Cricetulus griseus: one gene and its partners. The protein of the gene in region 4 interacts with the protein of the main gene of each other region in a pairwise test. Links are inferred from orthologs where the notes say so. Each region holds a gene or a part of one and is shown on either strand. Other genes may lie near its edges. The genes, in order: Ndn, Skil, Usp2, Nefl, Nme7 and Kifc3.

Region 1 (3,863 bases), on a different chromosome or scaffold from region 4:
CTTAAAATATATTGGCAAGTATTTAGCTGTGCTCCCAACATGGAACTAGTCTTTAGCAGAGTTGAATATTTTCTATAAACTCAGAGGATGTAGCAATAATAATTAAAGGAAGAATGGCACTGTGGAAACATGAAAATACACTATCATAAAATTTCTCTAATATCTTAAGGAGAAATATAAATGAAATCAAAGTGACCCAATAAATGTGGAAAGCTGAAATCTATAGATATTAAAACAATTGTAAATCAACTAGCTAAACATCCAGTTATGGATGAATGCATAAAATGTTATATATACATATATACGCATATATGAGTATAATTGTACATACAAGTATATTCATGTATGTGTTAACACATATATATGTATATATACATAATATGTATATATACTGTTCTCATAACTAATTTGATGTCTCATGTACAATATAATATTGTTTATTACTTGTGACAGCATGTATGAACTTGATGGAATTGTGTGAAGTGAAAAGGGCTATATATAGACAAAGCTTCCTGATCTCCAACATTTGTGGAAATGAGGGAGACATGACATCAAATAAGTAGAGAGTAGAAAATTGATTACCAAAGGCTGTGAAAGGAACATGGAGGATAAAGATTGCCTTCTGAAACAAGAACATAGTTAGGAACAATATTCTGTAGTGTACTATAACAAAGTGCAGTGGGTGTACTCAGCTATACATGTTTAAGGAGATAGAAAAAGGAATTTTAAATATCCCTAAAGGTTAAAGTGATATATGTGTTAATTATGCAAGTTTGCTTACTGCATATTGTGCTTGTGTATAAAGACAAACTCTTATTTGTGTCAATTATATGTGTATATTGTGTAAGTGTATGCAAATTTATGAGAAGGGTGTTGTGTATCCTGCTCTATTGTTCTCTACCCTATTCCTTTGAGACAGGATCTCTCACTGAACCTAAACTTGGGCTGGTTTCTGGCAAATGCCTGTAATTCTCCTAATTGTACCTCTCAGAGCAGGGTTTACAAACACAGACTATGCCATTACATTTTTTGTGAGTCTTAGGGATTTGAACTAGGGTTCTCACACTTGCACTACAAATGCTCTTACCCATGGACTGAGCCAATTCCCATCCCAATAAAAAAATGTTTAAACACACACCAATTATGCTATATAATTTTATTACTTCCAAAACATTCAAATTCCACTTGGGCTGATTTCCAGTGTCTGTAATGACACTTTATATTCTTCCGTATTGGATCTGGACTCAGGTTTGGTAAAGATTTGCTCTATTAATTTTTCAACATTCCAATCTTAAACATCACATTATCTTCACAATGCTCGCACTTCCAAAAAAAAAAAAAAAAATCAAAAACTCATTACTGTCTCACTCTTTTGTAGAAAGTCCAAGCTCTCTAGCCAGTCTACCCCCTTTCACACAAAAACTCAAAGGTGCTCTAACTTGACTTCACCATCTCAGCTGCATCTTTCTACTTAAACTTGCTCCTTCCCCATCACCATCTCTTTCTAGCTCACCCAGGAGACCTGGAGATCTTTCCCATTAGTTTAGTGGTACCCTCCCTCAGACCCCAGTGGTTGGGCTTTGCATCTCAGCTCCTATCCAGCCCTACCACCCTTCTGGCTTGCCAACACGCATGCGCAGTGTCAAGTCCGCCCCGCCCGGCCGCTGCTGCGGAAGGCACAGCTCTCAGTAAAGCGCACTTCCTCTGCTGGTGTCCACTGAGGGAGTGCTGGTTCCAAGAGCTCCAAGTCGCAGCGGTCCTGCTCTGATCAGAAGGCGCAGACATGTCGGAACAAAGTAAGGACTTGAGCGACCCTAACTTTGCACCTGATGCCGCCAACTCCGAGGTGCAGGAGAGCTCTGAGATTCCGGTGGGGGTCCCTCCTCCCACATCTCCAGCCGCGATCGTCGCAGAGGCACCAGAAGCTCCTGAAGGCCCTATGGCAGCCCGGCAGGCCTCGCCGCCGCCTCCAGAAAGGTTAGAAGATATTGACCCTAAGATTCTGGAGCAGGCCATAGAGGAGGGCCGCGCCCACAATCCCGATAGCCCGGTCCGTCAGCTGCCAACACCACCCGCCCCGGCCCAGGTGGTGCAGAAGGCGCACGAGCTCATGTGGTACGTGTTGGTCAAGGACCAGAAGAGGATGGTCCTCTGGTTCCCAGACATGGTGAAAGATGTCATGGGCAGCTACAAGAAATGGTGCAGAAGCATCCTCCGGCGCACCAGCCTCATCCTTGCCAGAGTTTTTGGGCTGCACCTGAGGCTGACCAATATCCACACGATGGAGTTCGCCCTGGTCAAAGCCCTCAGCCCAGCAGAACTGGACAGAGTGGCGCTGAACAACCGTATGCCCATGACAGGCCTCCTGCTCATGATCCTGAGCCTCATCTACGTGAAGGGCCGCGGGGCCAGAGAGGGAGCCGTCTGGAATGTGCTGCACATCCTGGGACTGAGGCCCTGGAAGAAGCACTCCACCTTCGGAGACGTGAGGAAGATTATCACCGAGGAGTTCGTCCAGCAGAATTACCTGAAGTACCAGCTTGTTCCCCACAGCGATCCTCCTGAGTACGAGTTCTTCTGGGGGTCCAGAGCCAACCGTGAAATCACCAAGATGCAGATTATGGAGTTCCTGGCCAGGGTCTTTAAGAAAGATCCCCAGGCTTGGCCCTCCCGCTACCGAGAGGCTCTGGAGCAGGCCAGAGCTCTGCGGGAGGCTAATCTTGCTGCCCACTGCCCCCGCAGCAGTGTCTCTGGTGATTAGGAAGGTCCCCAGCATGTTGATAATTTCTGACCCATACTTGGGCTGTATAAGGGTGGGGTTGGGTCATTAGAGTATTCCACATTCACAGTGCAGTATTTCATGTGTAACCTTTAAGTTTTCCTTACAGTGCTTTTGTACCTTTCAATGCAATATATTCATTTGTGTTCGCTTGGAGCGTGTTAAGGATTTATGCATGTGCGTTTACAAGTAAGCAAGTGGATGCTTTCACTTCTGTGCTTTTTTGTACAAGAGATGTGCTGTGCTGAACCTGTGAAATCCATTGAGATGTTGTGTATCTATTCTTTGTATGAAAGTGATGATCTGTATCAACATAAAAGCCCAGGAGAGTTAGGAGGTGAGCAAAGCAGGCCTGACCAGAGAAAGGTCAAGGGCCCTCTTATATGAACTCAACTGGCACAGGAAGCATCCCTGTGGAATGGACTGATTTGAACTGGAATGTTCTCAGTGTAGGCACTTAGCACACCCTACCAAACATGTATACAACCCCACCATAAATAAACTTTGAAGTGAGCATTAAAGATCCTTGTGGAATAATTTCTTTGGGGGGGTATTTATTTTGTGGGAAGGGGGGTTGGGATGGGAGGGAATGAGGAAGATCTGCCCATGCACAGCATGCACAAACATGGTGTTCAACTAAAAGAGTGGAAAACCATTACCCAAGACCACTCAGGGTTACAGCTTTATTTTTCTATTTAATCAAACTGGTGACACTTCAAAGACTTTGACATTTAAGGGGTGTAATAATCAAAGAAAAGTATCTTATCACATCACATGGGGATAATTAATAACAGGTATTATGAAGTGACTTGCCCCTTCCCTGTTTTTTTTTTTTTTTTTTTTTGACGTTTTTGGTGGGCACTTAACAGAATGAAACATCGTTACCAAATCCTTTATGAGCACCTTATCCTTTATTTTATCCTCCCCCTATCCATAAGAGGTAGGAGGTTACTGAGTCAGCATGGAGGAAGAAATATGTAAAGAGTGTGGGTAATAAACTGTCCTAAAAATCATACAGGTTATATGCTGGAGCCTTGACTCTTAGCTCACCCACGGCCACCACACATATGAGCACCCTTTGCCT
Region 2 (5,447 bases), on a different chromosome or scaffold from region 4:
GTGGCAAGTTCTCTTGTCAGGTGATCTGTGAGAATGCATGACAAATGTCTGGGGTGCAAACATTCCACAGCACTCTAGACACTGGATACAGGGAGCATCAGGCTGGACATAAAACTGAGGTGCAAAGAGACCCTGACATTTGCCCAAGCATTCATGTTCTACTTCAAAGGCACTGCCAGTTTCCTTTAACTGGGCCAAAGAGTTCTTAGCAGGAAGTATGCTACCATTTTGAGGAAAAGTCCGAGGCCGCAGTAGAGCATTACAGAGTCTTTGCGCATCAGTCAATGTGATCAGCCCACAGGATGGGGCATTGAACGGAAGTATTCCTAGGACCTTTAAGATATGAAGCTGGTCTGAAGTACACCTTGAACAATATATGTATAGCTCATCACATACTGTGTTTATTTGCTGGAGTGAAAATTCTCGGAGAACAGAATTTAAGACTTGGGGCAAACAGAGTCTCTTTTCTCCTCCAACTTGAAAACAAGAAATAGACTCCCCTTCCAAAACAGTCTGTGTGAGCTCTGTGGAGCTATCAGAAGGAATGAGAAGAGGGCCAGGAAGAACCTGAGGAGATGGAAGAGGCAGGAACACAGTCGGCGACATGCTTTCTTGGGAGTATCGGGCAGAAAATGCTGCTGGCCCACCCAAAGAGCTCTGACTACTTAAATGGAATTGTGCCAGTGTGTGTTTCAGGCTGGGGTTTAAATTTAAAGTTTCGGGGATGGAAGTACAGTTTCGTTTAGCATGGTCTCTATCTGTCTCCACTGATACATCTCCATAGTCATCCAAATGTTCCTTCTTCACCTTGGTCAGCGTTTTTCCACTGGCATGCATGTCTGTCATCATTTTCTTCACGGGAGGGCTGCCATCATCCTCCATTCCATTCAGTTTTTTATTTGAACCCTGAACTAAGGAAAAATTGGACTGTAGGTTTTCCATGGCTACACTGGTGTTTTAAATAATTAAGTCTGCAATTGGCATGTTGTACTCAGTTTCTAATTTGAAGAGAAAGGGATAATGTATACAAATACTTATGGCTCCCTTAGAAATTTTTTTAGTTTGCAAAGATGAATTTTCTTTCTCGATAGATTTGTGCAACTTTTTTTTTTAGTTATACCTTAGGAGATAACCGAAAATACTACAAAACTTCTCATTTTGTATCTAACAATAAAGAATATAACAATAAGCAGACTTCTGAGGAAAGTCTTGTTTTCTTGAGTTCTTCAGATATTTGTATTAAAAAAAAAAGGCTAATTTCTGAATTCAAGATGAGCAAGGTTTGGTGTAATGGTAGAGTTTGGTGGTCTTGTCTTTTAAGCAAAGCATTGGAAAGTGTATGCCATTACTATATCCTAAAACCACACCCAAACAGGAGTTGCAATGATGCAACGGTTTAATTTTTGCCAAGGAAACCAAAGGGGGGGGCGCTAATCTTCACTGAAAATGGTGGTCTGCTGCTGTGTGTCCACAAACTGAAGACTTGTCTAAACCTCCAACACCAGTAAGAATCTGAACTTCTATAATCCAAAAAAAAAAAAAAAAAACTGCCCAGTTATCTTCAAGGATTACAGTTCATTCTTCTTTCAATTGACCTGGAGAAGAGAAAGGGTGGGGAGAGTTACAACTCAATATGCTCCAGAGGCCAAAGGGTCACTTTAAAACCAGTTTCTTAATCTTAAACTCAGTTCACTTTACCAAAGGTAACACTTGAGTGATTTCCTTCAATCAAACACGAGTTATCTAAAAGAAACTTCATTTAAATAGGAAGCAGCCCAGAAGATGGATAACAGGAACATTAAATAATATCCCTCCGAACAAGGAAGAGCACAAATTTAGAATACAAATAAATAAAACTCAGTACCAGAGGCTTTCTCAACTATGCCATTTTAATTAAAAAATTAGCTTTTATTTCATTTTAAAAAATATGTGGTTCCACCCTCCAAAAGAACCAGATACATGTTAATATACCTACCATATGTAACCAAGTTAGTCTCAAGTGGATTAATTCATCTAGTCAATATAAACTATTTCTGAAATTAAGGAAAAAAAATAAACTTTCCCTTTAAAAGGTTAGTGAATTTGCTTTAATGGAAGCCAAAAGCTGTAAGACTCCATGCCTGGAAATCTCCATCCTTGAGCAAGACTAATCCGGGACAAAAAAGCACAAGGCAGACAGACCTCACAAAGAATGCAAATGGAGGCAGAGTGGGGGAAAAAAGAAATCTTTTTCCACTCCCCTCGGGAGAAAATGCAACGAACGCCGATAAATAAAAACCTTTGCTTTCTAAACTCCCCGCGATTTACGTTTACACAAACCCAAAGGATGACCGCCGAAAGCCATCTAGCCGCCGTACTGTGACTTTCGCCACTCCAGGGACACCTCAGCCAAGGCGAGCCAAGGGAAAGGGCAGGAGGTATGACCTAGCCCGGGGGCGCACCACAGCCCTGCGCCCACGCAGACACCCACCCATCTTCAACCGAAGGGAGGTAGGACAGGAAAGCCGGGGACTCCGGACGTCTGGCGAGGTGAGAGGGGGCAGAAGGAAGTAGAGGGAGGAGTCCTCCCAACCCCCACCCGAGACTGGGATCACCCCAAGTGCCCTCCCCACATCGCCCCACTGCGGGGGCCGCCGATGGAAATCCCCACGCAGCCGGTCCGCGGGAAGTTCTCTGGGGTTACCTCGGCGCCCCAGGGCTGTGCCACCCACCCCCTTCACCTACCCCCGAGCCGTGGCACCCAGAGGGGCGCGGGCAGGCTGGGCGCCAAGCCCGGAAGCCCGCAAGCCCGAGTCGCCGGCCGCTCGGAGCTGGGGCCAGCCCGGGGCATCCCCGCGGAGCTCAGACGGCCGGGGGATGGCGGCGATGACCGGCGTCCAGGTCTCCCGGGTCTCGGCCGCTCGGGTCAAGTGCAGCGCCATCCCCTGCCAGCCGACCCGTCCCAGGACCCGCGAGGCCTGTACACCCGTGGGACCCCCGCCGCGCGCCCTGTGCCCGAGACCCCGCCCGGGACCCCACGCATCCCGGACGCCCCCACTCCGGCCCTCCGCACCCCGGGGAGGTCCAGGGGGTCTGTGGCCTCCCCATCACCCCCGCCGCCGCCTCAGCGTCCCCAGAGGCCGCACGCCCCTCTCGTCCCCTCGAGACCTGCGGCCGCACCTGTGCCCGCCGTCGCCGTCGCTCGCCCGCCGCCTTCGCTGTGCCTTCGCTGTGCCGGCGCCGCTCCGAACCCCACACACATCGCTACACACAGCCTCTGACGTCACCCGGCCCTCGGCCCGCCCACGTCACTGCGGAGACACGGCTTCCCGCAGACGCCGCCGCCGTCTCCGGCCGCCCGGGGGACAGCGAGGGCGGCGGAGGGGGGGGGGAGAGGAGGGAACGAAGCCAGCGGCGCCGCGCGGCCCCGCGCCAGCCAGTCCCTCGGGCGCGCGCGCCGTCTGGCCTATTGTGGCTCCTCCTCGCTGGCCGCGCGGTTCAGGCTGCGCGCTCGCGTCCCTCCAGCCCCGCCGGGGGCGCGCGCCCGGCGGCCTCAGCCGCGCACGCGCGTGCGTCTGTTTTCTCCCCCGCCCCCTCCCCCTACTCCCCGCTCCGGCGCGTGCTCCACGCTGCTGGCTCGGCGCGCCGTCTGGGCGGCTGGCGCACGGCGCTGTCTGCGGTGCCCGGCGCAGACAGGATGTTCCCTCGGCCCCACCCCCGCCGCCCTCCTTCCTTCCTCGAGTCGCCCAGCCGGCTGTCTGGGGCCGCCCCGCCACGCCCGCTGCCGTGTGGAGACGGGCCAGACCCGGGGGCGCCCCGGCCGCTGGGCCGCCGCGCGGCGGGGGAGGGGGCAGGGCGCGGCGGGCTGCACTGTGCGCGACCCCGGCAGCTGGCGCGCCCGATCAGGCTCGGCCACCCCCCCCTCCCCCGCGGCCGCAGCTGGCCGCCCGGCCCCGCCCCGGAGGTGGCCTGCGGGCGGCTCCCCGCCGCGACCCCTGGGGTGAGCCCGCCGCGCAGACGCCCCCGCCCGGAGGCGGCGACCCCCGCGCCGCTCCCCCTCCCCCCCCCACGGCCGCCGCGCAGACGTCGCGGGGCCCTCGCCCCTGTGGGGCCTCCTCCCGCCGCCGCCCTGCCAGCTGCCGGCCCTGAGCCCCGCCTGGCCGCGCTGGGGTGGCCTCGCCCGGCCGCCATCGTCAAGGGAGGCCGCCGTTTCCACCCCGCCGGGACAGACCTGGCTGCCCCAGCTGCTCTCGCCCTCCATAAGTGACCCGTTCTAATTCACTGAGCGCTTTCGTTTGGGGTTTTCAGGTTTTTCTTTTCTTTTTTTTTTTCAGAGACGGTAGGAGGTGGAGAAAGATAACCACTTTAGAGCTGTCGGCTGCCACCTCGGGCGGGCGGGCGGGTGGGTGGGGGGAGTTCCTAGCCAACGTACCCAGGAGAGAGTCAGTTCGAATATTCAAGTCTGTGGAGCTAGTCCGTCACATTTCGAAACAGCAAAGAAATCCCCTTTTCTCCACCCCACCGCAGGACCAGGAACTGAAATAGCGCAGACTTAGGGAACTTAAGCTTCGGCGGCCGCGCACCCCTCCTCTACTCCCCCTCCCCCCCTTTTTTTCTTTTCGCCTAGTTACTTATTTTACCGCTTCGGGGTTACTCATGTTTGGGTCCACATTTGCAGCTGTCCAATTAGGAGTACTTTTGTGCTCGAAGATTTTTCTCCTCTCTTCCCCCCACAGTAGGTCTAACAAAGCTCTTCACCGCCCCCGCCCCAGCTCCTGTCGGTCCCCATCTTCGTACTCCCAGGTCATGCCCCTCTCCCATCTCCTACCCTCCGCTCCTTGACTGCTTGCCTGTGTGAACATGAATAATTCCACAGCACTTCCCATCTGTTATTGCCATAGAGACAGAAGCTCAGCAAAGATAATGATGTTCTGTGCAGAGCCAGTGGGGGGAGAGCAGCATCTGCGAGTCTGGAGGAATAGATGTTCTAACCGCCAGAATATTCAGAGGCCTGCCTGGAAAGCCGAGGTGAAAGCCAGCACAGTCCTGAGACTAAGCACCTGGTCACCTTGCACCTGGCTCTGAATGTAGCCAGAAGAAACAAATTTAGAAAGCAAGATAACTGTGTGTGTGAGTGTGTGTGTTTAAGCCATTCTGAAAGTTCAATTAGTGCTAAGTATTTAGTAGTCCTCTTACCACCCATAAAAGTAATTACTTGCTAGCATGGCCAAAGGCCTAAGAAACAAAATTAGTTGAACAACAGACTTTTTAGAAAAATCAAATACATTTTCTCTCTGTTCTTTTGCTCCCTCCAGGAATCTGTTTTTGAGGGATCTTTGTGTCTGTGATAACACTTGAGAAACATAGTCACAGCCATGTTGCTAGAACCAAGCTTTGGGGGCATTTTCAGCATTATTCTCAATTACAAAATAAAATTCATGTTGCCCTTGAATTCCCAAGGTCTCAGC
Region 3 (3,800 bases), on a different chromosome or scaffold from region 4:
TTGGTTGGACCCAAGCACTAGATTCTCTTGCTTAAGCCTCCCAAGCGTTGGGATTACAGGTATACAACACCATGCCTGACTCCAGTTTCAGGGTTCCATCTTGTTTGTTCATTGTTTGATTAATCCATGGGTTGGTTGGATAGTTGTCTTTTTTTTTTTTTTTTTTTTTTTTTTGAGACAGTCTCATGTAGCCCAAGGTGGCCTTGAACTCCTGATCCTTCTACCTTAACTTGGGTTCATGAGTGTGCACTACCATACCTAGCTCAAGGTTTTGTGTGTATGTGTGTGTGTGTGTGTGGTGTGTGTGTGTGTGTGTGTGTGTGTGTGTGTGTACAGTGTGTGTGTGTGTGTGTGTGTGTGTGTGTGTGTGTGTGTGTGTGTGTACACAATCCTGGGACTGGAAAGATGGCTCAGTAGTTGAGCGAGCCATCTGGTCTTACAGAGGACCATATTTGATTCCCAGAACCCATGTCTGGCAACTTACAACAACCTGTAAGTTTAGTTCCAGGGGTCCAGCACCCTCTTCTGGCCTCCTTGGGCACTCACAAGCATACATACATACATACATACACACACACACACACACACACACACACACATACACACACACACACACACACTAAAATAAAATTGCTTTTTACAAAAGCAAATATCTCACCTTTCCTCCACCCTCTCTCTGGTTGTTCCTTTCAACAGAATTTGCAAAACTAATCCAGACCATATGGACATCATCCCCCAATGATGTGGTGAGCCCATCTGAGTTCAAGACCCAGATTCAGAGATATGCACCACGCTTTGTTGGCTATAAGTAAGGGCCTCGAATGCATGTCCTCCCCCAAGAGGGGGTGGCACAAGCAGGGTGTTGGTAGATGCTGCTCACTCACTTTCTTTGGGTTCAGTCAGCAGGATGCTCAGGAGTTCCTTCGCTTCCTCCTGGATGGGCTCCACAATGAGGTGAACCGGGTGACTGTGAGGCCCAAGCCCAGCCCTGAGAATCTTGATCACCTCCCGTAAGTAAGAGGACAATGCTGCTGTGAAGTGAAGCCTTTGTGAACTTGAGATGCATACCACTTCTTTGAGAGTGGTGATCTCTCAAAGAGGGGAGAATCAGATTTGCTTTGTTGTTTTTAAACACGAGCTTTTTTATTTTGGTGACAGTAATGTGTGTGTTACTGGGGATTGTACATAAGGGCCTTGTACATGATGGGAGAGCACTCTGCCACTAAGTGACATCCTCAGGATTGAAGATTTTGAAGCCAGGCTTGGTGGTATATACCTGTAATCCTAGATTTCAAAAGGCTGAGGTAGGAGGCCAGCCTGGGCTAACCCTGTCTGAAGAAAACGATGGCTTGTGGGGTACAACTCAGTGGACTGTGTGAGGATCATGATCAAGGCCTGGGGTTCCATGCCCAGCACCACAAAAACCATATTGCATATAAATATATTCTAGTTGCTAGCACCTAAGCATATCAGGGTTTGAGCTCTAATGCAGCTGTCTTCCTGTCTGCGGTTCCCAGTGATGATGAAAAAGGGCGACAGATGTGGAGGAAGTATCTGGAGAGGGAAGACAGTCGAATTGGGGGTAAGTACACAGACAAGAAAATACCTGTGTCTGCTGTCCCCTACTTTTGCTTGAGAAGCCCTGAAGATCATTTTCCCAGGGAACCCTGCTTCTGCCTGTGACTCTCAAAACCAAGGCAAGAGTGGGGAGAAAAGGAAGGCAAGCACTCCGTATGTGCAGCTCACCCTGGCTTTCTCTTCCCCAGATCTCTTTGTTGGCCAGCTGAAGAGCTCCCTGACCTGCACCGACTGTGGCTACTGCTCTACAGTCTTCGATCCCTTCTGGGATCTCTCGTTGCCCATTGCAAAGGTATGCCCTGATGTGGCCCCGTGTCAGCTTCCCTCTTGGGCTTTGCAAGGTTATGGACAGCTGACCTGGACTTTTTTTTCTCTCCAGAGAGGTTATCCTGAGGTGACATTAATGGATTGTATGAGGCTCTTCACCAAAGAGGATGTGCTGGATGGGGATGAAAAACCAGTAAGTATCCTCAGTGACAGAAGCCAGCCACAGTGCCTGGACGGGGAAGGGCCACCTGGGTCTAGCCCCTGTTGTCTGTCTTTCAGACATGCTACCGCTGCCGAGCCAGGAAACGATGTATAAAGAAATTCTCTGTGCAGAGGTTCCCAAAGATCTTGGTGCTCCGTATCCTTAACCCCCCAGGGTTGGGACCTGACTTTTGGGGGTGACTAATGACAAGGGACCAAAAGGGGAGGGGAGCAGAGTAGGGTGAAAACAGTGTAGGCTTCTGTGTTTGTCTTCCTGCTTCCTGAGAAGAGCTGCTTCTCCAAGGACTCTCTTCCGGCTTTTTGTCCTTGACTGGAGACAATCACAGACCTGAAGCGGTTCTCGGAATCCAGGATACGAACCAGCAAGCTCACAACATTTGTGAATTTTCCACTAAGAGACCTGGACTTGAGAGAATTTGCTTCAGAAAACACCAGTGAGTCTACTTCAGGAGGACAGGCTTCCTGAAGCTGAGAGGCAGAGGCGGGAGGAAGCTAGCAAATTAGGAAAAGACTGGGAAGTAAGGATCCGGTGAGATACAGATCTGAGATTGAACCCCAAAACCACACAGGAGGAGAGAAGTGAATATTGACTCCTTCAAGATTTCCTTCTGACCTACACACACACACACACACACAAACTAAAATTAAATTTCAACCTTTTTTAAGTAGAAGCTGTTTTCTGTAAGGGAAAAGATAGGAAATAAAATGGAGGAAGGGCAGGAATGCCTCCAGGGCTTGACACCTGTCTGTGGTTCCTCCTCAGACCATGCTGTTTACAACCTGTATGCTGTGTCCAATCACTCCGGAACCACCATGGGAGGCCATTATACAGCCTACTGCCGAAGTCCAGTAACGGGCGAATGGCACACTTTCAATGACTCCAGGTGAGAGATGGGCTTCAGACAGGGCTCCTAGACAGCAGGCAACCTCATATGGCTTCCGTCTTGAATGGACAAAATCGAGGCCAAAAGCTACATCACACACACAAGACTATGCTGCCCTTTCTGGGTTTGTCCCAAGTGGCCACCGTGGCTTACAACTGTAACCAAACATCTGAGAGGTGAAAGCAAGATGATCAGGAGTTCAAGGTCATCCTCAGCTACTTAGCAAGTTTGAAGTCAGTCTGGGCTGTGAGACCTTGTCTCCAAAAAGGGAAAAAGGGTTGGGGGTGGAGCTGAAGAAATAGCACAGTGGTTAAGAGCTCTTACCACTATTGCTGAGGACAAGAGTTTATTGCCCTTAGCCATCATGGGCACCTACACTCAGTGCAAGTATCCACACACATACCACATACACATATTTAAAAATAATAAAAATCTTGACAAAAAAAAAAAAAAAAGGACGAGTCAGAGCTTAGATTGGCATAGAGAAGTTTGAGACATATCCAACCTCAGCCACTCAGCTCTGTGTCTCCAGTGACCTTCCTTGACAGGCTCTGACTTTTCCCTGATCTTTCCAGTGTCACACCCATGTCCTCCAGCCAAGTGCGCACCAGCGACGCCTATTTGCTCTTCTATGAACTGGCCAGTCCACCCTCCCGTATGTAGCATTGAGGAGCTACAGCCCTTCCCTCTTCCCTGTGGCAGCCCCACGTCCTAAGTTTTTTAAAAATTCAAAAAAAAAAACCACAAAAACAACAACAAAATCCTGACAAGTAAGAGAAAAATAAAGTAAAATAAAGCTGCCGAGCAGAAGTTGATACGGGCCTGGTCGGGGTCTGCAGCAAGGAGCCC
Region 4 (5,342 bases):
AGAATGACCTGTAACTCCTGAAGAAAGGCACTGGAAGAATGGGAGTGAAAAATGCCCAACAGTGATGTGTGCAGACCTGCTACAAAAGATTATGAAATGATACAGGATACATGGAGCTAGCTTGAGGAAAAATCTGCAGTTTTTCATACACACACACACACACACACACACACATATATACATACATATATATATATATATATATATATATATGGGAATAATAGGAAGCAAGGAGAGCTATGACTTATTCAAGATCTCTCTCTCTCTCTCTCTCTCTCTCTCTCTCTCTCTCTCTGTGTGTGTGTGTGTGATGTGTGCGTTTCTCCCCTTTAAGTCCTCTTGATCACTGATGAATATGAAAAAGGATATGCAGGCTACAGAGAACTATCTGAATAGTACTTGACCCTATATGCTGGCTTCGTAAGTCGCAGGCAGCCTGGCGACTTTAGGCTTGAAAGCATAGAATGTATAATCGGGGTGGGCTTCTAATATGGCTTAGACTTAACAGATTTAAACTACCAGCAACCCCGTGGGAGTCCTCTGCTTCAGTCGGTTCCTCTTCCATTTAGGGGACGAGTTATCAGAATCACAGCAAGTGTAAGATGAGAAAAGAACTTGCAGAATAAACCTCACCTCACCCTCTTTTCGGTTTCCAGAAGCGACCGTGCACAGCTCCAAAAACTTCACTTCCCTATTTGAAAACCGTTATCCATACTCCCTTATTGGGCCATTTAAAGGAAACAGTACGCTAGTGGTATGTTGAACAAATTAAACAAAACGCCAAATGCTTACTTCAAAAGCGGTTTTAGTTACTTCCAACGAATCTGAATCTCTGCAGTATCTTTTCGAAACTGCAGGAACTCACAGCTTGAGTATGAAAGTGCTGCACTCATGTGCGTTTGGCTTGCCCACTCTGGTATCTGGGGTATCTGAGTGCTTCCCGAAGGAAGTCCATAGATTCCCTATTGCATCTGTTACCTATGAATTTCAGCCGGCTATTTATTTTCATTCCGCTTCCAGGCTGAATTCTTTTCCTAGGAGACCACACCCAGAGCTGGCAGCTGTTCGCAGCAGCGGTTTCTCCCCTCAAGCTTTAAGAAAAAAAAAAAAAAAACCTGCCACCTGCATGGCTTGTCGAAACCATCAGGTTGGGGTACCACACAGGTGTAAAAGAGGGGAAGAGGCTTTTGATGCGAAAGAAGCCGGAATAGATCAGTGTGCACACGGGCACCCTGAAGTTCTTGCGCTGCAGAGTGCGTCTTTGCCTTGCAAGTCTTTCTTTGCCTGATTTGTTTCAACCCCATCCCAAGCATTTCAGGCTTCATTCCCCACAAAGAAAGGAGAAATTTTATGAAAGGTGCCAGACAAATTAACTGCTTCCTGTAAAGGTTTTAAAATGTTAAAATGACCACCCGCTGTCCTGAGGTCTCAAGGGTGTTTGGTGGGGCATGTCCCCCATGTGTTGAGAAACGGAGTGATAAGGCAAAATAAATAAAAGGAGGCAGGAGAAAGGGAGGAGAATATAAGAAAATGTCAGAAAATAGCTACAAAGACATGCAAAACTTTCCTGCAGGAATGTCGCATGGACGCTACCCTCAGCTATTGTCAGTAACCTAACAGCCCCAGACTCAACACCCGGCTACGTAAACACAAAGCAGGATGCTTAAGAGGGTCCCTGGTGGAGAAAGGGCGAGCTAAGGGTGGGGTGGGGTCAGGGTGTCTTTGAGACATTGGATATTAAAAATTGATGTGTCAGTTTCGGGAGCGAGAGCCTTTTATCTGGAACATTTAAAGATCCGAGTGATTGAGGGCTTTAGGTATTAGTAGGCAGAGTGGGCTGGGGGAGTGGGAAAGGAAAAGGAATGAACAGGGAGGTTGTGGGGGTCTCATAGAAAGTGGAGGGTCTCAGAGCAAAGCTGCCAGGCGGAAGCCGCACTTCGCCAGCTGCCTGTCGCTCGCCCCCGCCCTCGCTTTTGCGCAGAATCCTCCCCTTGGCTGCTGCAGCGCACTGCCCCCACTGGCCTGCGCACCGCGATCGATCGCAGTCTGCGTCAGAGTCCTGGAGTATAAATAGAGGTGGCAGGACCGCGCCGAGCCGCACACAGCCATCCATCCTCCCATTTCCCTCTTCTTCCCCGTTTTTCTCTCTAGGTCCCCCATCTCCGCTCCTGGCCGGAGGGGCACACCGGCCGCCACCATGAGTTCGTTCGGCTACGACCCGTACTTTTCGACCTCCTACAAGCGGCGCTACGTGGAGACGCCCCGGGTGCACATCTCCAGCGTGCGCAGCGGCTACAGCACGGCGCGCTCCGCGTACTCCAGCTACTCCGCACCGGTCTCCTCCTCGCTGTCCGTGCGCCGCAGCTACTCGTCCAGCTCCGGCTCGTTGATGCCCAGCTTGGAGAACCTCGATCTGAGCCAGGTAGCCGCCATCAGCAACGACCTCAAGTCGATCCGCACGCAGGAGAAGGCACAGCTCCAGGACCTCAACGATCGTTTCGCCAGCTTCATCGAGCGCGTGCACGAGCTGGAGCAGCAGAACAAGGTCCTGGAAGCCGAGCTGTTGGTGCTGCGCCAGAAACACTCAGAGCCGTCCCGCTTCCGCGCCCTGTACGAGCAGGAGATCCGCGATCTGCGCCTGGCGGCGGAAGATGCCACCAACGAGAAGCAGGCGCTGCAGGGCGAGCGCGAGGGGCTGGAGGAAACTCTGCGCAACCTGCAGGCGCGCTACGAGGAGGAGGTGCTGAGCCGCGAAGACGCCGAGGGTCGGCTGATGGAAGCCCGCAAAGGCGCCGATGAGGCCGCGCTCGCCCGAGCCGAGCTGGAGAAGCGAATCGACAGCCTGATGGACGAGATCGCCTTCCTGAAGAAGGTGCACGAGGAGGAGATCGCCGAGCTGCAGGCTCAGATCCAGTATGCGCAGATCTCCGTGGAGATGGACGTGTCCTCCAAGCCCGACCTCTCCGCTGCCCTCAAGGACATCCGCGCTCAATATGAGAAGTTGGCTGCCAAGAACATGCAGAATGCCGAAGAGTGGTTCAAGAGCCGCTTCACGGTGCTGACCGAGAGTGCCGCCAAGAACACCGATGCTGTGCGCGCTGCCAAGGATGAGGTGTCCGAGAGCCGCCGCCTGCTCAAGGCTAAAACCCTGGAGATCGAAGCATGCCGGGGTATGAACGAAGCTCTGGAGAAGCAGCTGCAGGAGTTGGAGGACAAGCAGAACGCAGACATCAGCGCCATGCAGGTATGGCACGAGTTCAAGCACAGTGGGGGCGGGGAGGCTGCACAGTCCGGGTGCAGGGTGCACCCAGAGAGTGAACGCTAGGGGGTCCTCGAGCCTGGAGCTGCTATCAGAGGGTTTGGCTTCCGGGAGGTTGTGGAAAGGGTGGGGCACTTGGAGGGGGCGGGGCGCCACTGCGGCTTGCTGTGTTCTTAGGGATGGGTTGGGAGGAGGGGAGGAGGGAGTTGGAGTTGGGCGTGGCCACTAGTCTGATGCTTACTCTTTACTGACCACTCAACTCAAAGTTAACCTGGCACTTTGTGGATCTCCTGGTTAATAAATACAGTGGCTAGCTCTCACTAGTTCTGGATCACCCAGCTTTGGAATAGTTTTGTTTTTTAACAGGGACACTAGAATACAGTCAGAATATTTAAGCCAATTATCGCAACCTATTTATTTATTTATTTATTTATTTATTTATTAGTCCTCATCTTCAGGGGAGTAGAAACAGAGTTGTGGAAAGCATGTGACCTGGCTAAAAGACAGAAGTGTGACAAAGGGTTTCTTTCTTTCTTTCTTTCTTTCTTTTTTGTTTTCTTCCTTTTTTAAAAAATCAATTTGGTATTTTTTAGACATTTTCCCATAACCAATAAACTAAAGAAAATTTAAAAAGTTGTTTACATCAGTCCACCTTCCTCCCTCCCCTTCTCATGCATCACTAGACTGAACATTTTAGGCCATAAAACCATGCAGTTATTTTAAGGGAGATTTTATTGAAGGTGCACACTCTGGAGTTAACTGAAGCTAGTCCTTACACCAACATCACAGTAAAATAAAAGCAGTAGAGATTTGTGTTTTGAAAATCTAAAACAATCTTCCAACAGGACACTATCAACAAATTAGAGAATGAGTTGAGAAGCACGAAGAGTGAGATGGCAAGGTACCTGAAGGAGTACCAGGACCTACTCAACGTGAAGATGGCCTTGGACATTGAGATCGCAGCTTACAGGTAAAACTGGAATGGAGCAGGCAGTGGGCATGGCACCTCAGAAAAGATCAGATAACCAGAGTCTGGGCAGAGTTATGTTGAATCACAAGTGTTCTAGAGTAGCCCTACTTTGGAGTTCCTCCAAGAAGGTACAAACATATAATGAATTGACCCTGAAGCAATGTAAGCCCTCTTCTTAGCATTTACATCTTAAATCTAATAGGGCTCCATAGAAGATTTGGGGGGGGCATGGTCTCTTGTGAAATCTCTATTAAATCGTAATTATGCCTAACCCTGCTTATTGCTGTGTTTGCTTTTGAGGTTGGCAACAGGGGAAAGTGATGCATGGTGGGCTTAGAACAAGTCGTGAACACACATCCAGTGTGGTCTAACTGTACCCTTCACCTGCCCCTTCTCCCCTAGGAAACTCTTGGAAGGTGAAGAGACCAGGCTCAGTTTCACCAGCGTGGGCAGTATAACCAGTGGCTACTCCCAGAGCTCGCAGATCTTCGGCCGCTCTGCCTACAGTGGCTTGCAGAGCAGTTCCTACTTGATGTCTGCTCGCTCATTCCCAGCTTACTACACCAGCCACGTCCAGGAAGAGCAGACAGAGGTGGAGGAGACCATTGAGGCTGTCAAAGCTGAGGAGGCCAAGGATGAACCCCCTTCTGAGGGAGAAGCAGAAGAGGAGGAGAAGGAGAAGGAGGAGGGAGAGGAAGAGGAAGGCGCTGAGGAGGAAGAAGGTATACAAAGACAAAACCCTTTAGAATTCCTAGTGCATACTGGCTGTGGGTATTCATTGGGAGATGGATGAGCTATGGGGCTTTGCCTACTACCTAGGGAGTTCTTTGTGAGTTTTGCAACAATAAAAGATACACGTGTGATGAGGACACACACATTTAATAAGCATCTATGAAAAATTGCAGAAGGTTCATATTTTAACTCTTGGTGGTTTAGAGAGGAGATAAGCTCCCAGCACCTGGAAGTTATATCCCTTTATTTAAATACATGTCTCCTGCCAAATTGTTCACCACAAGCACTGTCTGTAACGTGTCCTTCGGGAGAGTGGGGCAAGAGGTTTATAGACACACTCTGACAGTAGTGTTTAGTAACTTATAGAGTATGTGCTGAAAT
Region 5 (5,271 bases), on a different chromosome or scaffold from region 4:
GTTAGCGGACACTACTGGGTTTATTAAATCTCGATGAAATAGAAGGTTGTTTTAATAAATTATGGGAGATAAATATGGAAATATAAATTACAGAGAAGTTATGGGACCTTTGGAAGTTTCCTGGTGACAAAAAAAACCATAAAAGTAATAAATGCTATTTACCAAGCAATATATGCTGCATTTGTTAAACAGTTTGCTTGGGTCACCTGAAAGTTCTGTTATCTCCAGTTTGTACATGAGAGTAATGCTCTCATGAGTGAAATGAGACTGAAATTCAAACCTAAGTCTGTCTCATGTTCCAAACCTAATGCTTTTTTTCACCAGAAAACTAAAAGCAAGATGGCTAAACAATTTAAATACAAGAGCCAGTTGTTGATTTATTGGTAAGACTCTAAGACCACTACTAGACAGATGTAATTTTATGGATGGTTTGCTGGAGCCCACTATGGGTGAGCATGAGAGGGTTTTTTGTTTTTTTGTTTTTTTTTTTCTATGCATAACAAACAGTAGCTCCCTTGGCTGTGGAAAACAGGATCCATCAAAGGTTTCTGAACTGAGAAATGACTCGGTAAAGTAGAGTTCCCTCAACCAAAGATGGAAATTCAATGTGAATAGGAATGGAAACATATGCTCTGCTCATCCACTAAGAAGTCTAAAGGACACAGTAGCCCAGATATTTAGAAATGTCCTACTGTGAGCAGCAATCCATATCTACATGAATACCATTCTTCCACAGCCTTTGCTCTGTGCGAACATTGGCTTGTATTTTATGTTAGTTATTCAATCTCCAGTGGCTAGATATTCAATACACTGTACTCAAAAAAGTAATGACAATACATTAAGGGATAGCTCTGTGGCTAATATTTTAAGTACATAGAGTGCATCATGACTCAGACTGTATCTGGGTTTAAACTCCAGAATTGCAACTTGCTTGATATTTAAGAAAGTTGTTTAAACTCTTGTACCTCGATCCTTCATTATAAGACTAGGATAATAATCATAATACTTATTTCAGAGGACAGAATCAGGCACAAATGTTTGTGTTAAACCAATATGAGCAGATTAAATCAGGGACTGGAGAGACGGTTCAGCCCATGCTGCTCCTGCAGGGGACCCAAGTTTGAGTCCCAGCTCACGACTGTCTGTAACTCCTGCTCCAGTGACACCTCTGCTCCCCATAGGCACCTGCACTCACAGCCACACATCCAGCACACACACACACACACACACACACACACACACACACACACACACACACACACTTAAAAATGAAAACAAAATCTTTTTAAAATCTACTTTGATCATTGAAAAATAAATGTATTAGAATTAAAAATGGCTATAATATATTTTTAAGAAAAGCTCCATTCTTTAAATTTAAATATCCTAAATAAAGGGAACATATATTACACTTTACCAGTGTGTGTGTGTGTGTGTGTGTGTGTGTATGTGTGTGTATAACTACTGTGTGTGTATATATGTGTGTATAATGTGTGTGAAATATATATATACACATCTGGTGTGTGTATATATACCAGTTTATAACGTCTCATAAAAGGTGCCATTTAAAATTGATCTTGTTAGATAGTTCCCTTCCTCATTGTAAAATACATGAAAAATTAAAAATAGAGATGGTAAGAGAGAGACTGAATATGAAAGACCTGGGCAACAGAAGAGGCGACGTACGTGTGTGTGTGTGTGTGTGTGTGTGTGTGTGTGTGTGTGTGTGTGTGTGTCTGGAGAGAAGGTAGAATGAACTCTATGGTAGGACTCCAGGCATCTAATGCTTCAGTGTCAAGCCAAGTCAGCAGCTAAGTCATGACGAGAGACTTCTGAAAGTGGATGGAAAAGAAGATGCTTAAAAGGACAGGGCTGATGGGGCCCACTCCATGAACACTTCCCAGCCCCCCAAGTTTATGTCCTAGTCTTGGAGACCTGCCTGTCTTCTGTTTCCCTTCTCTCTACATGTAGCCAAGGCATCTGTCCAGTGCTAAGATCCACCCAGCACAGAGGGGTGGGCCTTGGGACCAAGAGCCTCTGCAGAGTCCTGGTCTATGGCTTCTGTGTCCTTTGGGTGCTCAGTTTTCTTCACCCTTTTATTCCTCTCTTGCCACATCTATCACCCTGGAGCATCAACAAATGAACAGCTGGTTCATTCACCTGCTCTGAGTCCTCTACCGCAGCCTGAGTGGGGTGGGTCTCCTCTAGCCATCTGCACATGCTCAGATGTTCCCTCCTCCTCAGCCTCTACCCAGGGACAAAGAGGAATGGTTGTGACTTTCATGGAACACCTGATAGGTGTCAGGGTTTTTAGCTGCTTTTTACAAATTATACCCCAGCTGAGGTAAGACTTCAAGTGTAATTTCACTATAAGGTACAACTCACTCTGCTTTCACCACATAGAAAACACACAAAAATCTGGTTCAAACACTGTCCTTTTAAGAAGAAATGAGAAAAAGAAACTTCAGAGAGAGAGAGAGAGAGTTGCATTTGGTGTTTGAAACACAAGCCTGTTCCCTTGCAAGAAATCCAGTCTCTATGCTAGACCTAGCTATTTTGGTTTTCTTTTTTTTTTTTTTTTTTTTTCCAAGACAGGGTTTCTCTGTAGCTCTGGATGCTATCCTGGAACTCAGTTTATAGACCAGGATGGCCTTGAACTCACAGAGACCCACCTGCCTCTGCCTCCTGAGTGCTGGGATTAAAGGTGAGTGCCACCACCTCCCAACTAGACCTATACTTGTTCCTTTGGTTTTCCTTCCTCCATTCCTTCCTTCCTTTTTTTGTATTTCATTTCATTTTATTTTATGTGTGTTTGTGTTTTGTTTGCATATGTATCCGTGCACCACATTCATGCCTAGTCCCTACAGAGGCCAGAAGAGGGCACTAGATCCCTGGAACTGGAGTTATACATGGTTGTGAGCTGCCATGTAGGTGCTGGGAATTGGTCCCAGGTCCTCTGAAAGAGCAGCCAGTGCTCTTAGTCATTGAGCAAGCTCTCCAGACCCTCTTTTTTTTTTCTTTCCCAACCTCTCTTCTTACCATATAAACTCTGTTGCCTGTCACTTGGCAGCAAGTGAAACTCATGGATCATTTACTTTAGCAGCTGAGGTTTGAGAGGTGCAAGGTAGCTGAGCTGATAGGAAGGGACCAGAAAGCAGTTCTGTCTAGACAAGCAAACATCTCTACTTGCTGTGTCCTATAAGCAGAATCCAGATGCTGTTCCATTCAAAATAAGTAATGCTTGTCTTTATTTTTTCTAAATTTTATTTATTTAAAAATGTGTGTGCACACATGCGTGGGAGCGCATGCAAGCCATGTGTGTAGTTACCCACAGAGGTCAGAGGTATTGGGTCCCCTGAAGCTGGAGTCATAGGCAGTTGTGAGCCACCTGACATGGGTGCTGGGAATCAAAGTTGAGTGGCCTGGAAGAGCAGTATGCACTCGTGACTGCTGGGCCATCTCCCTAGCATAACTTGCCTTTATTTTTACTTTGATGTCTTCAGTAATGCTGATACTTCAATTTAAATGAGTATGACATTTTCCTGAGATTTTACCATGGTAGATTAGAAGGTAAACAAAGGTCCTTGAAATCCAGGGTAATGCCAGCAACCATTTCTCCATTAGCTGTGGCCTGTCATCAAGATGCAGCTCTTCCTTTTGATAACAGGGTCCAGAGAAGCTAGTTTGCCTTCTGACTCTTAAATTTGCCCTTCTTATAGAACATGAAAATATTTGTTATAGGCTTAAGATAAGTATTCTGTAGCTAAATGACAGTTATTAAAGATCAGGAAGGCACCCCATCATAAACTGGAAACAAGTTAGAAGACTGGCTCATCTAGATCTAGATCTACAACAGGAGCACTGTGCCATGCAGATATGTCCTCTAAAGAAGTGTGTGACTGAAACATTAACCTCTCAGAGTTAAACATCATTTAAAACCAGCAAATAAAAAGGTCCCCCGCTGATTTCATTTCTGAAAAGCCTGGAAGCGAAGAACCATAGCATTGTCAGAGTTTATTATGATCAAAAAGAACTGACAAGGGGGGAGGTATTAAAAGTAGCACAGGTGCAGGTGGCTGACTTTGATCAGGTCTCAAGCAAGGGAGAAAGTGTTCTTTCTGATTGGATGCATTTGTGTCTCTTAGCCCAACACATCTGATGCATCATTCACGCTAGTCACCGCCACAGCTGTCCAGGCTCCTCATCTACTTAGCTCTGAAAACCCGAGGAGGAAGGTGAAACTATCTACTCATTGGCCTTTGCTCTCTGCACTTTGACCCCAGCTCCTTGTCTTTGATCTGCACATTGTCCATTTCTTAGTGACTAAGTAAGCGTTTCTGAGGTAATAAGTAACTCTCTGTAGCTAATTAAAGGTCTTCTGCGAGAACTTAGAAAGGGGCCTAAACCATTGATGGCCTAATCAAATCCATCCTCTTTTATGAATTCATTCAGAAATATTACTGCTACTCCTCTTTTTGTCCGTTAGGAGTTGTGTTTCTATTCTGATTAGAAAAAAGCCAGAGGAGTAGTATAACAGGGAAAGTATTAGGCCTAGGGTTTTCAAAGACAAGTAGACTCAGCAGGTTTTCCAGATTGTTCCAAGCTTTTAAAGAACTTAAAAAGATTTTACTTCAAATGTTCAATGCCTCCAGCATAGTGGAGATATTGATACTCTGTGAGCAACTTTTTGTGAAGTAAAGGGGAAAGAAAGAATTTCCTACTCTTGATTAACCTGAACGTGAGGTCAACCACCCAGGAGCTACCAGACAAAATCCTGATGTCATCATTTCACTTGCCAAGTTACCTTCTGTCCTTGATTTAAGGGCACTACTTTAATCCCAGCGCTTGGGAGGCAGAGTCAGGCAGATGGATCTTTGTGAGTTACAGACCAGCCTGGTTTACAAGAGCTAGTTCCAGGACAGCCTTCAAAGCCACAGAGAAACCCTGTCTCGAAAAAAACGGGGGGGGGGGGGGGATAATTTCATTAACCAGGCAGAGATCTCTGAGTTCAAAGCCAGCTTGGTCTACAGAGCAAGTTTCAGGACAGCCAGGGCTACACAGAGAAACCCTGTCAAAAAAAAAAAAAAAAAAAGCTGTGAAGGAACAAACAAAATAATAATTTAATTTAAGAAAACATTATGTGTATGTTTCAAAGTTTACTGAGATAGATGAACTACTTGGTGTTGTTAGTAACTTGCTAAGGTCTTGTTGTGACGACTTTTTAATTTTTATTTCATGAGAATGAATATTTCCATATACATAAGTGCAGAGTAT
Region 6 (4,692 bases), on a different chromosome or scaffold from region 4:
TTAGATTTATTTTTATGTTTGACTGTTTGCCTACATATATGTGTATGCACCATGTGCATACCTGGTACCTGCTGCCTGAGGATGCCAGAAGGAATAGATCCCTGTCACTACCTTTTGGGTGCTAGGAACCAAATCTAGGTTCTCTATAGATCTTCAGATCTGCAGACACTCAGGCCTAGAACTAGTTACCAACATGAATTCCCATACAGGTGCGGGGAACAGAACCTGGGTTCTCTACAACAGCAGCAAGGGCTGAGCCATCTCTCTAGCACCCATGTCTTACTTAGGGTTTCTATTGCTGCAACAAAACCATGGCCCAAAAGCAAGTTGGGGAAGAAAGGGTTTATTTGTTTACACTTCAGCATCACTGTTCATCACTGAAGGAAGTCAGGACAGGAACTCACACAGGGCAAGATCCTGGAAACGGGAGCTGATGCAGAGGCCTTGTAGGGCAGCTGCTTACTAGCTTGCTTCTCATGGCTTGATCAGCCCACCTTCTTATAGGACCAGCAGCCCAGGGACAGCCTCATCCAACATGGGCTATTGAGAAAATGCCTTGCAGATGGATCTTAAAGAGGCATTTTCTCAGCTGAGGTGGCTTCCTCTGATGGTGCTATATAGCCTGTATAGTACAGGCTACATTAGTGTATTTTTTTAAGATTTGTTTTTATTTTTATTTTTATATGCGTGTTTGGCTGCATATATGTCTGTGTACCACATGTACATCTGCTGCCTGTGGAGGCCTGAAGAGTGTATTGGATCTTCTCAGACTGGAGTTACTGATGGTCGTGAGCCACCATGTGGGTACTGGGAATTGAACCTGAGTCCTCTGGAAGAACAGCCAATGCCCTTACCTGCTAAGTGGTCTCTTCAGTCCTCCTGCATTAGTATTTTAATATGTGCATTTGCTGAACAGATATTTATGGATTGGCTGCCTTATGCCAATGCATCTAGCACAGGTGCAGGGATGATGAGAAGGGAAATAGGGAAGATAGCCCACCAGAGAGTCACCAGTGACCTCAAATGCATAAGCACCAATGGGAATACCAGGAACAAAACTTTAGAGAATGAAGTGCCAGTGTTATCTGGGGGTGTTGCCCAGATTTCCCTGAGAGAGGACTCAAAATCCCTCTGGCTTCTTTCTTTATATTTGTTAGACAGGGATTCCCTGTGTAGCCTTGGCTGGTGTGGAACCCAATGGCAGATACTGCTGCCTCATGTTCCCACATGCTGTGGTAGGAGGCATAAGCCACCATGCCTGGCTTTTCTCCCAGCTTCTTTGGCCTCATGCACATATCCTGCCCTCCTAAGTGGCCGCTGTGCATAGCCGGGATGAAGCAAGTGCAGATAGATGGTAGTCAGGATGGGCACTGGGGGAACATACACCTTTGAGCTGTCCTTCCTCTGGCTGCTGCAGCCCTGGGCCACTGCTCTGGGCAGGACCCCAAGGGCGATGGCACCTCAGCCACAGCCTGTGTTTCACCGTGTTTCTTTATTCTTGTGAGATTCTTCTGGGAGCTGAGCTGCCCATACTTTTGTCCTTTGTGAGGTCCCAGAGGGTCTGGTGAGACAACAGTTAAAGAAACCAGAGGGAAGTTAAATCGGGAGGCTGTGGTGAGGAGCTGCAGCTCAGCTGGGTGGTGGCCCTGTTCTTGAGCTTTGATTATGGGGTGCTGGGCTGTGGCTGCTATGGAGGCCTGGGCTCAGCAGTTCTGCTCACATTCCACTCAGAAGCTGATAGCCTCTGGCTTCCAAGTTCATGTCCTTCCGGCCCCTGCCGAACTCTGCCATGTTTATGGATATGGATATGTAACAAAGTGTGTCCCAAGCACAGTGAAGCGACCTGCAGGTCACAGAGTCAGTCACTCCAGCCTTGGTCCATCAGCTAAAGCCTGAGCTGTACCCCCAGAGGCAGTACAGAAATTCCCAGCCCCTGGGGACATCTGTCCTTCCTGTGCTTCGGCCAGCAGCCCAGAAATAGTGTAAACTTTGCTCCTGTCTGAAGGCAAATGGAAACTTCCAGCTGCTGCCATCCCTGCCTCCCCCACCTCCTCCAACCTGCTCAAGATGGTGTGACAGTTGAAGGGTGGGGACAAAATTTAACTAAGTAGAATTTTCCTAAATACGAAGATGAGGGGGAAAGAGGCTAAGGTCGTGGCTAACCAGGCACCTGCCCCGGCCACTTTTCACTCTTGCAATTCTCTTGATTGGCCTTTTGATGCTCAAGTAAGTGGAGACTAGAGAAATTATAAACTCACCACTGCTATCTATGTGGCACTTCTTGTAGGCCAGGCACCTTAAATGTGCTTTACTTGTGGCTGCCATTGGTTTGCCCACTGGCACAAGTGGGCAGAGGTTAGTGGTTCTAGATTGAGACTGTGGAAGGAAACTGAGGGAGGGTGCAGAATTTGTCCACAGCCACCCAGCACACAGGTGACATGCTGTCTCATTGGGCTTTGGCTTCCCTACTACCCTGAGCATTAAAGAAATGTATGTGGCACCTGGCCTAGAGTGTTGGCAGAAACCTTAAATCCCAGTAGTGAGGAGGCAGAGGCAGAGGCAGATAGATCTCTGTAAGATCCAGGCAGCCAGGGCTACAGAGTGAGACCCTGTGTATATAAAAGAGTCATACTTGACTTGAGAGGGCACAAAGACATAAAAGCTTCTTACCAGATGTTTCCGTGGACATAAACCAAACCCAACTGTGTTTATAAGGTGAAAACTTCAAACCCCAGATGTCTCCAGAATGACCAGGAAGACCCTGTCTGCTCATCACCTTGCCTTTTCTCCTGTGTTCTCCAAGTTTAAATTGCTTTTGTTTCTATCTCAGTGAGTCTCTGTGTATGTACACCCCACACTGAGCACACACGGAGCCTGTGAGATCTCCAGTTTCATTTTCACCTTTATCTTGTGTATGACCCTCAAATGGGATCACGCTTTCCCACACTGTTCTGACCCTTGCTCGGTGTCATTCTCTGGGGGCTACAGAGGATGTCTTTGAATGAAGCACCCCTTTCCCACTCCCCCACTTGTCCGCTCCAGCCCAGCTACCTTTGCCTCAGTTCCTGACCAGCACATGGGTTCACATTGCCCCTGGATAGCCTCATGGGACAGAGCCTGAAGGAGGCAGGGTAGTCATTTTCCTGGTCAGATGGACTCATGTGCAGCCTCTGAGTCCTGGGAGGGCCATCCTTAGGTGGAAGGCCGACTGCCAAGGTGTTGCAGCAAATGACACTACAGAGGAGTTGCCTTCTATACACGACATGATGTGTATATTGCAGGACTGGATAGTTGCCTGTGATGATGAGGCTTGGTGTGAGCCAGTTGCTCACATGCCGATGACCCGTGCCCCACAGAGCCTGCAGGGATAGCACCAGCTTCACTAGGGGACCATAGAATCTTCTAATCTTTTTTTTTACTGGTAGAGAGACTGGCTACTGTGGGGCCCAAGAATAAACCATGGCCATCTTCCTGTGGGATGTTAGTCTGGCTTCCTCAGATCCCAGGCAGGCTTCTTTGTCCACGGTGGAGACAAGCTGCTGGGCCGGGGACCAGAGTGCTCATCATCCCCAGCGAGGGTCCCTCCTCAGCACAGTACCCTTCATGAGAGGATTCTGGTTGTGTCTTGGCAGCAGGCCCTGCAGGACAAGGGGTGCAAGAGCAAGAGTCAGGGGACGAAAGAAGACAAGCTCCTGAAGAGGCAGGCGCCGGCCCCCAAGCGGGACCGGGAGGCCCCAGAAGCTGGTGGCACCATGAATGTAGAAAACACAGGTAAAGGAGGTCAGCCCCACCATCAGCACACCTGGCTGCACACCTGGCAGGACACCTGGCTGAGCTGGTACAGGACACCTGGCTGAGTTGGTGCAGGACACCTGGCTGAGCTGGTGCAGGATGGAGTGGGGTCCCAGCTGTATGGTATTCTGCCCCACAGCTGGAGGTGGTTCAACCAGTCTGGCCACCTGACATGAACTTGAGACCCTAGACAGCCTCCTCCAGATCCAGATCCAGATCCAGATCCAGGGACAGCTATGTATCTGTCCTCTTTCTTGTCCTGCCCCTTGTCCCAGGGCCACCAGGGCTCCACCCAGTGATAAGAGACCTTGGCCACTGGAGGCTGGGGTTGGGTTTCCCTTCTTTTTGTCTTTTCCAAGCACCCATCTAAAGTAGGGCCCAGGAGCAGCCTCCCAGACGCCACTGGTGCCTGCTGCAGAGGCCAGTCTGTGTCTTTCTAGTCAGAGGATCTAAAGGGCAGGAATTTGTTCCCTTCCTTCAAGTCCAGAAAACAGCTTGTGGTTCCATTATCCACTGCCTGCTATGGCACCCAGGGCTGACTGGCTTTAGAAGGTTCTCCAGGCCCCTTTGAGGCCCTCTAGGCTTTCCATAGTAAGTTCAGGCCAGTGATCACAGAGAAAGATCCTCCTAGGAGGCAGCCTCAGGGCAAGGCCAGCAGTGTGAGGGAGAGTCTGTGTGTCTGAACTTGCTGTAGTTGTTGTTGGAGGTCACTCCCTCCTCTGAGTCTGGGCTAGTGCCTGCTCTGCATGAGTCCTGGTCCACCTAGATTTGGGGCTCACGTAGGGTCTGGCTGAGCAATGGGCAGCCAGGGGTTCAAAATGGCCACCATCTGGCCAGCTAGGTGGGATAGGCCCAGAGGAGGAAGGCTGGGCCCTCCTAGCAATGAGGACTGGCACAGTA

The links.
Region 1: the proteins of Nefl (region 4) and Ndn interact in binary tests that used the Homo sapiens proteins (3 or more experiments, as listed by UniProt). The link is inferred for Cricetulus griseus from reciprocal best matches to the Homo sapiens genes NEFL and NDN.
Region 2: the proteins of Nefl (region 4) and Skil interact in binary tests that used the Homo sapiens proteins (3 or more experiments, as listed by UniProt). The link is inferred for Cricetulus griseus from reciprocal best matches to the Homo sapiens genes NEFL and SKIL.
Region 3: the proteins of Nefl (region 4) and Usp2 interact in binary tests that used the Homo sapiens proteins (3 or more experiments, as listed by UniProt). The two-hybrid records come from large-scale screens. The link is inferred for Cricetulus griseus from reciprocal best matches to the Homo sapiens genes NEFL and USP2.
Region 5: the proteins of Nefl (region 4) and Nme7 interact in binary tests that used the Homo sapiens proteins (3 or more experiments, as listed by UniProt). The two-hybrid records come from large-scale screens. The link is inferred for Cricetulus griseus from reciprocal best matches to the Homo sapiens genes NEFL and NME7.
Region 6: the proteins of Nefl (region 4) and Kifc3 interact in binary tests that used the Homo sapiens proteins (3 or more experiments, as listed by UniProt). The two-hybrid records come from large-scale screens. The link is inferred for Cricetulus griseus from reciprocal best matches to the Homo sapiens genes NEFL and KIFC3.

What each region holds. Positions count from the first base shown.
Region 1 is NC_048596.1:135,133,787-135,137,649, reverse strand, and holds Ndn (necdin), read left to right. Parts: upstream 1-1,783; coding exon 1,784-2,761; downstream 2,762-3,863. UniProt on the Homo sapiens protein: Growth suppressor that facilitates the entry of the cell into cell cycle arrest.
Region 2 is NW_023276806.1:119,740,023-119,745,469, reverse strand, and holds the start of Skil (ski-like protein), read right to left. Parts: upstream 3,296-5,447; 5' UTR 3,160-3,295; intron 1,596-3,159; 5' UTR 943-1,595; coding exon 1-942. UniProt on the Homo sapiens protein: May have regulatory role in cell division or differentiation in response to extracellular signals.
Region 3 is NC_048597.1:155,789,608-155,793,407, forward strand, and holds part of Usp2 (ubiquitin carboxyl-terminal hydrolase 2), read left to right. Parts: intron 1-696; coding exon 697-808; intron 809-899; coding exon 900-1,010; intron 1,011-1,517; coding exon 1,518-1,582; intron 1,583-1,766; coding exon 1,767-1,870; intron 1,871-1,957; coding exon 1,958-2,038; intron 2,039-2,124; coding exon 2,125-2,203; intron 2,204-2,393; coding exon 2,394-2,501; intron 2,502-2,830; coding exon 2,831-2,951; intron 2,952-3,526; coding exon 3,527-3,614; 3' UTR 3,615-3,800. UniProt on the Homo sapiens protein: Hydrolase that deubiquitinates polyubiquitinated target proteins such as MDM2, MDM4 and CCND1. Isoform 1 and isoform 4 possess both ubiquitin-specific peptidase and isopeptidase activities.
Region 4 is NW_023276807.1:223,081,337-223,086,678, forward strand, and holds the start of Nefl (neurofilament light polypeptide), read left to right. Parts: upstream 1-2,197; coding exon 2,198-3,244; intron 3,245-4,104; coding exon 4,105-4,229; intron 4,230-4,631; coding exon 4,632-4,951; intron 4,952-5,342. UniProt on the Homo sapiens protein: Neurofilaments usually contain three intermediate filament proteins: NEFL, NEFM, and NEFH which are involved in the maintenance of neuronal caliber.
Region 5 is NC_048598.1:27,936,613-27,941,883, reverse strand, and holds the end of Nme7 (nucleoside diphosphate kinase 7), read left to right. Parts: intron 1-4,142; coding exon 4,143-4,274; 3' UTR 4,275-4,289; downstream 4,290-5,271. UniProt on the Homo sapiens protein: Possesses an intrinsic kinase activity. Displays 3'-5' exonuclease activity with a preference for single-stranded DNA. Does not seem to have nucleoside diphosphate kinase activity.
Region 6 is NC_048596.1:171,330,513-171,335,204, reverse strand, and holds part of Kifc3 (kinesin-like protein KIFC3), read left to right. Parts: intron 1-3,632; coding exon 3,633-3,771; intron 3,772-4,692. UniProt on the Homo sapiens protein: Minus-end microtubule-dependent motor protein. Involved in apically targeted transport. Required for zonula adherens maintenance.